Linked DNA regions of Macaca mulatta. The main gene of each other region encodes a partner of the protein of the gene in region 2 in a complex. Links are inferred from orthologs where the notes say so. Each region holds a gene or a part of one and is shown on either strand. Other genes may lie near its edges. The genes, in order: CTNNA1, CTNND1 and CDH26.

Region 1 (3,651 bases), on a different chromosome or scaffold from region 2:
AAGGACTGCTGGCAACCACCAGAAGCTAGGAAAAAGGCATGCACAGATTCTTCCTAAGTCCCAACAAGGAATCAAGCCTGCCAACACCTCGATTTCAGATTTCTGCACTTCAGAATCATGAGAGAATAAATTTCTATTATTCTAAGCCACCAAGCTTGTCATAGTTTATGTTACAGAAGCCCTAGGAAACTAATATACCTGCTTAATTAGTACTGTGGAATTCTAATAATTTCATTTTCAGTATTAGAAATATTTATCTTCAGCCTGAAAACTGAAAAAATATTTACCACTGAAGGTTATTTGTTCACAAATTCAGAAAACAACTGGAGATGTCATCTCCATCTAAGACACTGCCCATTTTAGGGTACTGCCACAAGGATGAATTTGACATAAGACTCTGGACTATGCAATCTACCATCAGGTATGAAAGATCTATGAAGTTCTCCCAAGGGCTAGTAGAGCACCTGTAAATAGCAGGGCTCAATTTACCTTAGCTGATAGCCAATAACCTAAAAAACCTACAGCATTGTTGAAATTCTCTGACTGGAATAGAAACCTAACACAAAACCACAGGTTTCAAGGGTGGGGGCTGTGGCTCATGCCTGCAATCCCAGCACTTTGGGAGACCGAGGCAGGTGGATTGTTTGAGCTTGGGAGTTTGAGACCAGCATGAGCCACTGGTGAAACCCCATCTCTACTAAAAATAAAAACTGCAGGTTTCGAGAAGTTTACTTTCCATATTTAAAGTCTTCCTTCCACACTTGTAACACAGTAAGGACAATTTTTCTAGCATTAATTACTGGTAAACTGTGGATTACCATTTTACTTTTTATCAATTCTGAGTTTCCCAAAACATGATTCCTTTATGCCCAGATTTATTTAAGTCAAGCTCCAACCAGTGCAAATATGCATGGCTGATTTAACATACTAATCTGACATAACAGAACAATTTCTAGAGTATTTTCAGAGTAGGTATTTTTCTATTTTATCACACCCATCTCTTCAGCATGAATTAAAAAGTATTACATAGAATGAAAGGTAAACTTCTGTCCCACGTTTCCTATCAAATTGTGTTACAACATTTCTAAGACTTAACTATTACTTGAAACACCCAAGAGAAGTGGATTCAGATTCTCCAGATGTCCCTTTGCAAGCATCTCTCATGATTAAAATTTGAGCCAGTCCAACTTAATACATCTCCGATAACTAAGTTACTGAGCAATTGGCAAGCATGAGAATGAGAATTAAAATATGATCCAGTCCAAGTTAATACATCTCCAATAACTGAGTAAGTTACTGAGCAATTGGCAAGCATGAGAACTGAGAATACTGACCACAAAAAAAATCTCCTTCAAACACTTATTTTCTAGAAAGGCCTGCCTCTCTTTACATGAAAAGCAGTAATGACCTACCTTGTTTTCGAACATCTTCTACAGCAGCCACAAGCTCCTCCTTGAGAAACTGGCTCTCCTTCGCAATTTTATCCCCCTTCTCCAAGAAATTCTCAGTTGCTTGTTCAACAGATGCAGCCAAAACATGAGCCTTCTTAGAACGACCTCTCTTCTTATTAGAGGGCCCCTTACTATTGGTGTTTACCAGGGTTGTAACCTAAAAGTTTCATTTTTAACATTAAACTGGAGTCAATTAAAATGACTAATATCTTTAAAGATAGCAAGATTAAGTTATTCTTTAAAAAAATCACATTTATGAGATTCCACTGAGCATTAACATACAATTCCCCATATTTAAGATATACAGCAATGATACTATATTTAATTTCCAAAATAACTCAGCTTTCTCAATGTGTACAGAATTATTTAACACATATTTTAATTTCTCAAATATGATCATTAGGTTTTTAGTTTGATTTTACAAATTAAAAAATGATTAGAGACAAGCTAGATGTCTCTACTATATGTCACCCATATAGTATCTGGAACACTCTATGTTCCAGAAATAGGTTAACAATGAACTTAGCTTTATCTGGAGATCGTACTGCCACTGTTTTCAAACTTTGCAAAATGTTTTAAGATAATTTGCTTCTGAAGTCTTTTCACGGTTTATTCACACAAATCTCAGCAATTTATTAGTAAAGGCCCCTAATAAAGGAATGACTGCCCAAAGAAGCCTACAGTGATGATGCTTTATGTCCTAGAACATTACCATCATTAATACACATAATACCGGATGATCTGTAGGTTAAAGATGATTAAGATATGTTACAGTGCAAATTTGCCAAACAAGACTCATTTTCTCTCTCTCTCTGAATCTCTCACATACAGACAACAGACACACTATTGCAAAACACTAAAGGTACACAGCTAGTTGCTAACAGTTTATGAACTACCCTAACATTGTGACATTTATAACATAATATACCAAACCTAAACCCTCAAGTTCAATTACCTGCTAATTAATCCCACACAATGAAAGGTGTGTTAAGCAGAGTGAGACACCTTAACAATCAAGGATCCAGATCCCACCTTTCTTGGGTTTCCCCTCTAAAGAAAGGTGAAGTATCTGCAAAGCACAAACATTTGCAAAGTTGCACTACATACCACGGACCCCAGTTACTAGCAATAAGACCGAAGAAAATGACCACAGCAGCGTTCTCAAAGGGTTAAACAAACTCATGCATCAATATTCAAATCATCTAAGAACTGTCACCTAAACTCAAGTACTGGAATTAAGGCTTTGAACTAAATAACCTTGCTCTTATGGTTGTTACCCAGGCCTGTACTATAGAACCAGGTTACAATGTATTTGTGTTTTCAGATTCTTACCTGTGTAACAAGAGGCTCCAACAGTCTCTCAACTGCCAGAGTCCTGATCTCTAGACTTTTGGGATCCCACTTGAAGTTTATGTTGCCTGCCTGGACAGCAGTCATTTCTAAAAAAGAAACAAAAAATCAGTCAAGCAAACATCAAACACAAACATGAAATATGTAACAAATCTTCTCCTACTTAAATCTTCTCCTACTTTGGGACTTTTGCATCAGGAAAGTTACATTCACTACAGATGAAAAAATTCTAACTAGCCTGCACATGAGGACCCAGTAAACCTTACAATCTCTTAAAATTTAATCATTTCAGGCTTACAAATACTAGGGGTACTACAAGAGGGCATTCCCAAACACACAGAACGTTTCCCTTTGGGCTTCTCTAGCGCAAGACTTCCTACTTCAGTTCCTACTCAGTTTATCTGCCCAATCTTTTAGAAACAAGATGAAAAGCTAAAGTAAACCTTTTTTTTTTTTTTTTTTTCTTTTTCTTTTTTTTGAGACGGAGTCTCACTCTTTCGCCCAGGCTGGAGTGCAGTGGTGTGATCTCGGCTCACTGCAAGCTCCACCTGCCGGGTACACACCATTCTCCTGCCTCAGCCTCCCAAGTAGCTGGGACTACAGGCGCCCGCCACCACGCCCAGCTAATTTTTTTGCATTTTCAGTAGAGACAGGGTTTCACCATGTTAGCCATGATAGGATAGTCTCGATCTCCTGACTTCGTGATCCACCCGCCTTGGCCTCCCAAAGTGCTGGGATTACAGGTGTGAGCCACCACGCCCAGCCGAAAGCTACTTTCAAAGACATTGCTTCAAAAACGAATACAGAAGATCCTGATTTTTCCTACTCCACAACATTTATGGTATAGTAG
Region 2 (3,651 bases):
TCCCTTCAGTCATTTCAATAAATTCAATAAATTATAGGCATCTGCTGGACTACAAACACTGTACTAAATTTTGAGGTAATAGTTAGCATTCAACTCCTCACCAATTAATTCTTTGTTGCGAGCATCCACAGCCAGGTTTCTCAGTGCTCCAGACGCAGCTTTCACCACCCGTTCATGTTCATTAGTCAGGAGGTCAGCTATGGCAGAAAGAGCCTTCTCTTGACGCAGAGCAGAGCGGATATATCGACCATACTAGAATAGCACATAGAAAGGGGTAGAACAAATTACAAATGGCAGCAAACTAGTTATCTAAGTTTTCCCATCTCCAAATCCATTTTCTAAAAGGTACTTTACCGTCCAGCGCCCAGCACACAAATTCTGGATAGCTCCAGCTGAGGCTTCTAAGATGGCAGGAGTCTTGCTCTCCTTAAGAAGTGAGATGTATATCCGAACCACCTCTGGCTGAAATAAGAGCTCATAGCCTGCACAAAAGAGAAAAAGAAGGCAGAAGGTGCTAATCAGTACCAATAAACCAGGCTCTAGCTGGCTGGAGTTCAGCCTTAATACTCCCGATTGATGTTCTATACCATCAGGTTCCCTAAACTCTCTCACACTCTCTACAGCAAATTTAGAGGCCAAATTCCATGTCTTAAGAATAATGAGGCCAGGCGCAGTGGCTCAACACCTGTAATCCCAGCACTTAGGAGGCCAAGGCGGGCAGATCACGAGGTCAGGAGATTGAGACCATCCTAGCTAACACGGTGAAACCCCGTCTCTACTAAAAATACAAAAAATTAGCTGGGCGTGATGGCGGGCGCCTATAGTCCCAGCTACTCGGGAGGCTAAGAGCAGGAGAATGGCGTGAACCTGGGAGGCGGAGCTTGCAGTGAGCCGAGTTCACGCCACTGCACTCCAGCCAGAGTGAGACTCCGTCTCAAAAAAAAAAAAAAAGACTAATGAATCCATGGTAAGATTGGAACAAATATCAACTCATTATACTCAACTCCTCTCTTTCCTTCCTTCTTGCCTCCTCTCCCATAGCTTTGCCTTTGGTTCTACCATGAGCGCTCAGGGGCTCCATTTAGCTCATTGACAGCACTCAAGGTTAAAAATTCCTCATCTCAAATCAATTATTTCTAACTTAACCCAGTCATTCTTCCCATCTTTGCAATTACTACGACGGTCCATTACAGATTAAACGTTTATAATTTTTATATCCATGGAGAGCTGTGAACTTTGGACTCACTGTATTGATGAATATAAAGATCCAAATTTCTTATAGTAAAGTGTAAAAATTATCTTTTCTTTTCTTTTGGAGACGAGTCTCTGTCGCCCACGCTGGAGTGCAGTGGCGCGATCTCAACTCACTGCAACCTCCGCCTCCCGGGTTCAAGCGATTCTCCTGCCTCAGCCTCCAGAGTATCTGGGATTACAGGCACCCGCCACCATGCCCAGCTAATTTTTGCATTTTTAGTAGGGACAGGGTTTCACCATGTTGGCCAGGCTGGTCTCAAACGCCTGACCTCAGGTGACCTGCCCGCCTCAGCCTCACAAAGTGCTGGGATTACAGTCATGAGCTGCTGCCCCCAACCTAAAAAGTATCTTTCTTAGTAAAGGAGCTTCTTTTAAAAGTGAGGTTTAAGTCTCAGGCACTGTAGTGGTCATTTATGGTTCCCAAATTTCTGCTCTAGACTACCATCAGGACCTTATTCTATCCTCAAGTAACCTGAATAACTGCCTTAACAAGTAGTCCTTTGTAAGTTACTGCTGTAATACTATACAGCTTCCCAATACTTTCACAATCATTTCAGTCTGTAAGTTGGAAAAGAGAGGACAATAAACATATTACATAAAGTCTGCTGTTAAGTTACCAAATATCTTATCTTTGTACTATGTTTATGAGACCTTTGGAGACTGAGAAGATAACTTACCCCGAGCTGGACTCGTTCTTTTAGGGAAATCCACTGTGTCATTTGCTGGATCCTCTATGGGTTTTTTCCCTATAAAAACGAAAAAGGGCAGGAAAAGGGGTAAGTCAGTTTAAAATAGAAAAGATTCCACCTGGCACATTTTTCATTCTTCGGTCAGAACCTTTTGATCACAGATGCACCACGAGGGACAAAGGGCAGGTGGGGGCAACTTGTTCCAGCAGGGGACTATTCAGAAACAAGGATAGAAAACAGGCAGCAGATAGGTAAGATGAGGATGACCATTGTTGATGCTATTGTCCTGAGCTCTGATAATGGGGACTGCTGCCCAGAAACAGCATGCCATGAGCTATTAGCTCCAAAGAGCTAAACCTGTTTCAGTGTCTTCCTCAACTGAACTTTCCTACATGCATAGACAGGGAAAGGTTAGGCAAGGACATACTAGGGAAGCTAAAACCAAAACATGCAAATTAGAAGTAGATAAGCACCTTAAAAGACTCCACTCACCTCTGGAGAACCACTCATCTTCCAGTGCATCACCCAAGGCAGAAAGCAGAGAAGAGAAAAGAAATAAGAAAAATGCAGGAGAAAGATGTCAGCAGAATCATGGGCAAATAAGCAGGGAAGCACAGAGAAGAAAAGAAAAACACAGAAAATGCAAAGGACGTATGGGGAAGAAGGTCCCAGATTAGTTGAGTTCTCATTTTCCACTGCCCCACTCATTGATACCACCACCACCACCACCATCACCACCAACACACCACCACCATCACCCCACCACCAAACCTTGAATGAAGCACACAACACAGGAGAAGCAGCAAAGCAAAAAGACATCTGTAACCAGGCAGACTCCCATATTGCTTGCCAAGTATTTTGTATCTTAAGCTAAAGTGTTCCTTCCTTTCCCTGTCCCACATTAAAGAGTAAGAAACAGGAACCAAGACTCACCTTTGCCCTTCTTGGCCCCAAAGCAACTGGCAGCATGTGGCCCAGTATTGTTGGCAACATTGGGAGCTGCCTCTTGGTAACGCTCTGCCTGTGGGATCTCCCGGTGAACTTGATATGATAAGTTCCGAAGGAGGCAAACACAGTTTTCTACAAGCTTAGGTACACAAGATAAAAGGGCCAATGAGAAAAAAGAATGTTGTGATTTCTCCACAGGTTTCCATGACTCAGGTATTAAAATGTTGATATTCAAATGCATAACCCAATCCATAACTTCTCAGGATGCCTCTTAAGCGCTCCAGGCTTCTTGAAATCCCTGTAGCCTCAGGCTAATGGAAGGCCCAACTATGGACTTATTGGCTTCTGCCACTATTTGGTGTGTGACTGAAACTTGGATCATCATTCTTACTACTTAGACAATGTACAATTTTGGAAGACAGCTAAGCAGCTTTAAAATATATAGGTGACAGATTTTTAAAAAAAGAAAAAAAAGCTGGGCACAGTGACTCACACCTGTAATCCCAGCACTTTAGGAGGCTGAAGCAGGTGGATCACCTGAGGTCGGGAGTTCAAAACCAGCCTGGCCAACATGGTGAAACCCTGTCTCTACTAAAATACAAAAACTAGCTGGGCATGGTGGCAGGTGCCTATAATCCCAGCTACTCAGGGGCTGAAGCAGGAGAATCGCTTGAACCCAGGAGGGAGAGGTTGCAGTGAGCCGAGATCATGCCAATGTACTCCAGCCTGTGCGACAGAGCCAGACTCCATCTCTAAAAAC
Region 3 (3,651 bases), on a different chromosome or scaffold from region 2:
AATTGCCATCCGTTTTCCTTCTACAAGATATAAACGGGTTCAAGACCCAGCAAACTGGGTCAGCGTAGATGAAAACTCCGGAGTGGTCACCACCGTGGAGCCAATTGACCGAGAATCCCCTCATGTCAATGACAGTTTTTATATAATCATTGTTCACGCTGTTGATGATGGTGAGTGTTTACCCAAAATTGGAAAAATAAAATGCTCATTCTTGCTTCCTGCGGGAAAGTAATCCTGGTGAGAGTCTTTCAGCACAGCTGAGAAAAGGATAAAATAAACCTTGTTATCACTCTGCATCCATGCTGGTGATTATTTTTGGTAGTAATTCTCGAAATGGTAAACAAGGGACCAATACCATCGAAAGAGGGCAGTATTCATTCAGAGGAGACAATTAAATCAGCAAGGAGGCTGCAATCAAACCCAACATCTTTTTCATCTGTTCATGAGCTAACTCTTTAGCTCTTTGTCAAAGCCGATGGTGTGTGATATTTAGCACAGCTTCCCTGTGCTTGGGATGGCATACGAGCTCAGGTAAATGGGACAGTAAGGGACACATTTGTCATCAACCAGGATGGGAGGTTTTATGAGCATGTTTCAGCACTTTTCTCTATGCTCTCCTAAGGCTGAATCTTTAAACACACCAAAACAAAGTTGAAGAAATAAAAATGTTCAAATAACTTTAACACTGTATTTAAGAAAGTCTGTGAACTAAAACCCAAGCTCCAAGTGATATGTCGCTGTACGTTCCACTCTGTAATTAACTAGTGGAATATTGGGGGTGGGGGGCAATGGAGATAGGAAACACGGATTCCTAATCAGTATTAAGGGAGGAGAAAAAGTGGGGCCAGTGTTTCAGGGCTCCCTCATTCTGTTATGGATGATTTTATAATGGGTACTCTTTTTTTTTTCTGTTTATTTTTTGCTTTTCGTATTTCAAAAGCTTTTGGGGTACAAGTGGTTTTTGGTTACGTAGATGAATTATGCAGTGGTGAAGTCTAAGATTTTAGTGCACCGGTCACCTGAGTAGTGTACTTTGTATACAGTGTGAGGTTTCTTATCCCTTGGCTCCCTCCTCCCCTGCTTCTGAGTCTCCAGAGTTCCTTATATCACTCGCTTAGCTCTCACTTACAAGTGAGAACATACAGTATTTGGTTTTCTATTCCTGAGTTATTCACTTAGAAGAATGGCATCCAGCTCTATCCAAGTTGCTGCAAAAAAACATTATTTCATTCTTTTTTATGGCTGAGTAGTATTCCATAGTATACATATGCCACATTGTCTTTATCCACTCATTGGTCAATGGGCACTTAGGTTGGCTCCTATTTGCAGTTGTGAATTGATGATTGCCACTTTTTAAATTAGAAAAAGTCCTTTTAGATAATTGTAGATTCACTTGCAGTTTTAAGAAATAATCTAGTGGATCCTGCGTATCCTTTGCCAGTCTCCCCCAGGGGCAACACCTTGCAGGACTACAGTGTAATCTCGTAACCAGGACATCAACGCGGAGATGCAGCGCATTTGCCTCTCCTCAGGGACCCCCATGGGGCCCTTCTTTAGTCACACCCATTTTCCTCCACCCCACCCATCCTTAACGCCTGGCACCATTGATCGACCTTTTGTTTGTTTAATGATGCCACATTCTACCTTGTTCTACAAATGATTTGAGGTGGTAAGTGCTTTATTAGCTTACCTTACCCAGATATTCTGAATGTTCATAAAAGCAGGAAAATAGATCATCACATGCATGCCAGGAGAGTTGATTTGAAAGGGAAACAGTTCTAGTATTTCAGGAATATTTGTTTTCTGAGAGACGGAGAGTGCTCCTTCTCCAGGGCTCTGTGTGCACGAGATAACCAACTCCTGAAACTTCCTCCCCGTACAAGGCTTCCCCCCGCAGACTGCTACAGGGACCCTAATGCTCTTCCTGTCTGACATCAATGACAACGCCCCGACTCTCCGGCCACATTCCCGCTACATGGAGGTCTGTGAGTCTGCCGTGCATCAGCCCCTCCACATCGAGGCAGAGGATCCGGACCTGGAGCCCTTCTCTGATCCATTTACATTTGAATTGGACAACACCCTGCGAAACGCAGAGGACACATGGAAGTTGGGGAAAAATTGGGGTGAGTTTTTGTACTGGTCACGGGCAAAGAGTGGAAAATGACAGACATCCAATTGAAACAGTTTTAGGCAAAAAAGGACTTTATTAGCTTAAAAAGCCAGAGAAGTCTGTTCTGGCAGAGCTGGCTCTAGGTGCTCAAAGGATATCCCTGGAAGCCACCTTCCCACACACGGTCTGCTTTTCTCTGGGTTCCTTCACTTTTAGGAACCTCTCCTCATCAGGGGGTAGGAGGCTGCTGGGAGTCCCTGAGACATATCCTAACATCTGGCAAGAAGGGTGTTTCCCAGGAAGCTCCAGGATTGATGTCACAGTTTGACCTGGGTCAGCTGCCCTGTCAATCACTGTAGGTGGGACTTAGGAGGGCAGACGTGCTGATTGACTGGTTCCCAGCCCACACCTGGACCTTGTTGGGATCTGGGCTCAGCCTCTCCTGATTCATACTGAGAATTTGGGAAGTGTGGGCTTCCCTAAAGAAACACTGGGGCACTGTTATCAGAAGATGAACCTGCTGAGCAGGTTAAAAGCAACTGGCACCCTCTGTCAACACTCTCCTCTGTGCCTCTAGCCATGGCATCTGTAGACTGTGGCACGGTTTCAGCTCAGACCTGGAGTGTATGGTGAAGAACTTCACCTTGCCCAAAGAGAGGTCTGGTCTTTGTCCTTGGGGTCTGGGTGATCTCTATTGGGATATCATGTCTGATACCGGTGTCTCTTTACCTGGGTGTCTTGAGCTGAGCCAGACAGGGGCAATGTGATTTAGATTGGGGACTTCTAGTCACATAGTGTCAGTTGACTACCAGAGAGGTTGGAGACTGAGGCCACCCACCTGGGAGGCCCACCAGGTTTCCTGACCAAGCCCCAGGAGGACACTGGAGCCTGAGGCTCAGGTGAACGTCCCTGACTGCAGCATCCCATGTGTGCTGTCCCTCACTGATGCTGACCTGGCTTCTCAGGAGAGGATGATGAGAAGCTCTGACATTGGTGCTTTTCTGAACTCTGCCCTAGGTGCCTCTTTCCTTGTCTGATTTTCATCTGTATCTTTTCCTTGTAAAAAACGGCACCATCGCTGTAACAACTTTCAGTGTGTTCTGTGAGTCTTTCTAGAGAATTGTTGAACCTGAGGGTGGTCTTGGGAATCCATGAACTTGCAGTTGGTGTCAGAAGTGAGGGTGCCCTTGGGGACCCCTCCCTCTAACTCTGCAGTTGGCTTACGTTCATACAGAGCTTGGCCTGTGCAGGGCATTTAGTAAGCGTGCATTGAGCAGATGAGCAGATGAGTGAGTCGATGCATGCCATGTTCTTTTTCCCTTTGCAGGTCAGTCAGTTGAACTTTTAACCTTGAGAAGCCTGCCACGTGGTAATTACTTGGTGCCACTCTTCATTGGAGACAAACAGGGACTTTCCCAGAAGCAAACTGTCCATGTAAGGATCTGCCCCTGTGCCAGTGGGTTCACGTGTGTGGAGCATGCAGATGCAGGAGTGGGGCTTCTTGTGGGGGCCCTGTCCCCTGTCTGTGCAGCATTCGTGGC

The links.
Region 1: CTNND1 (region 2) and CTNNA1 share a complex: the UniProt entries of both Homo sapiens proteins name them as parts of the cadherin:catenin adhesion complex. The link is inferred for Macaca mulatta from reciprocal best matches to the Homo sapiens genes CTNND1 and CTNNA1.
Region 3: CTNND1 (region 2) and CDH26 share a complex: the UniProt entries of both Homo sapiens proteins name them as parts of the cadherin:catenin adhesion complex. The link is inferred for Macaca mulatta from reciprocal best matches to the Homo sapiens genes CTNND1 and CDH26.

What each region holds. Positions count from the first base shown.
Region 1 is NC_133411.1:147,648,372-147,652,022, reverse strand, and holds part of CTNNA1 (catenin alpha-1), read right to left. Parts: intron 2,891-3,651; 5' UTR 2,889-2,890; coding exon 2,784-2,888; exon of another isoform or gene 2,729-2,783; intron 1,635-2,728; exon of another isoform or gene 1,609-1,634; coding exon 1,413-1,608; exon of another isoform or gene 1,391-1,412; intron 1-1,390. UniProt on the Homo sapiens protein: Associates with the cytoplasmic domain of a variety of cadherins. The association of catenins to cadherins produces a complex which is linked to the actin filament network, and which seems to be of primary importance for cadherins cell-adhesion properties.
Region 2 is NC_133419.1:15,586,413-15,590,063, forward strand, and holds part of CTNND1 (catenin delta-1), read right to left. Parts: intron 3,031-3,651; coding exon 2,877-3,030; intron 2,001-2,876; coding exon 1,932-2,000; intron 483-1,931; coding exon 355-482; intron 253-354; coding exon 102-252; intron 1-101. UniProt on the Homo sapiens protein: Key regulator of cell-cell adhesion that associates with and regulates the cell adhesion properties of both C-, E- and N-cadherins, being critical for their surface stability.
Region 3 is NC_133415.1:112,781,632-112,785,282, forward strand, and holds part of CDH26 (cadherin-like protein 26), read left to right. Parts: intron 1-27; coding exon 28-170; intron 171-1,883; coding exon 1,884-2,123; intron 2,124-3,437; coding exon 3,438-3,651. UniProt on the Homo sapiens protein: Cadherins are calcium-dependent cell adhesion proteins. They preferentially interact with themselves in a homophilic manner in connecting cells; cadherins may thus contribute to the sorting of heterogeneous cell types.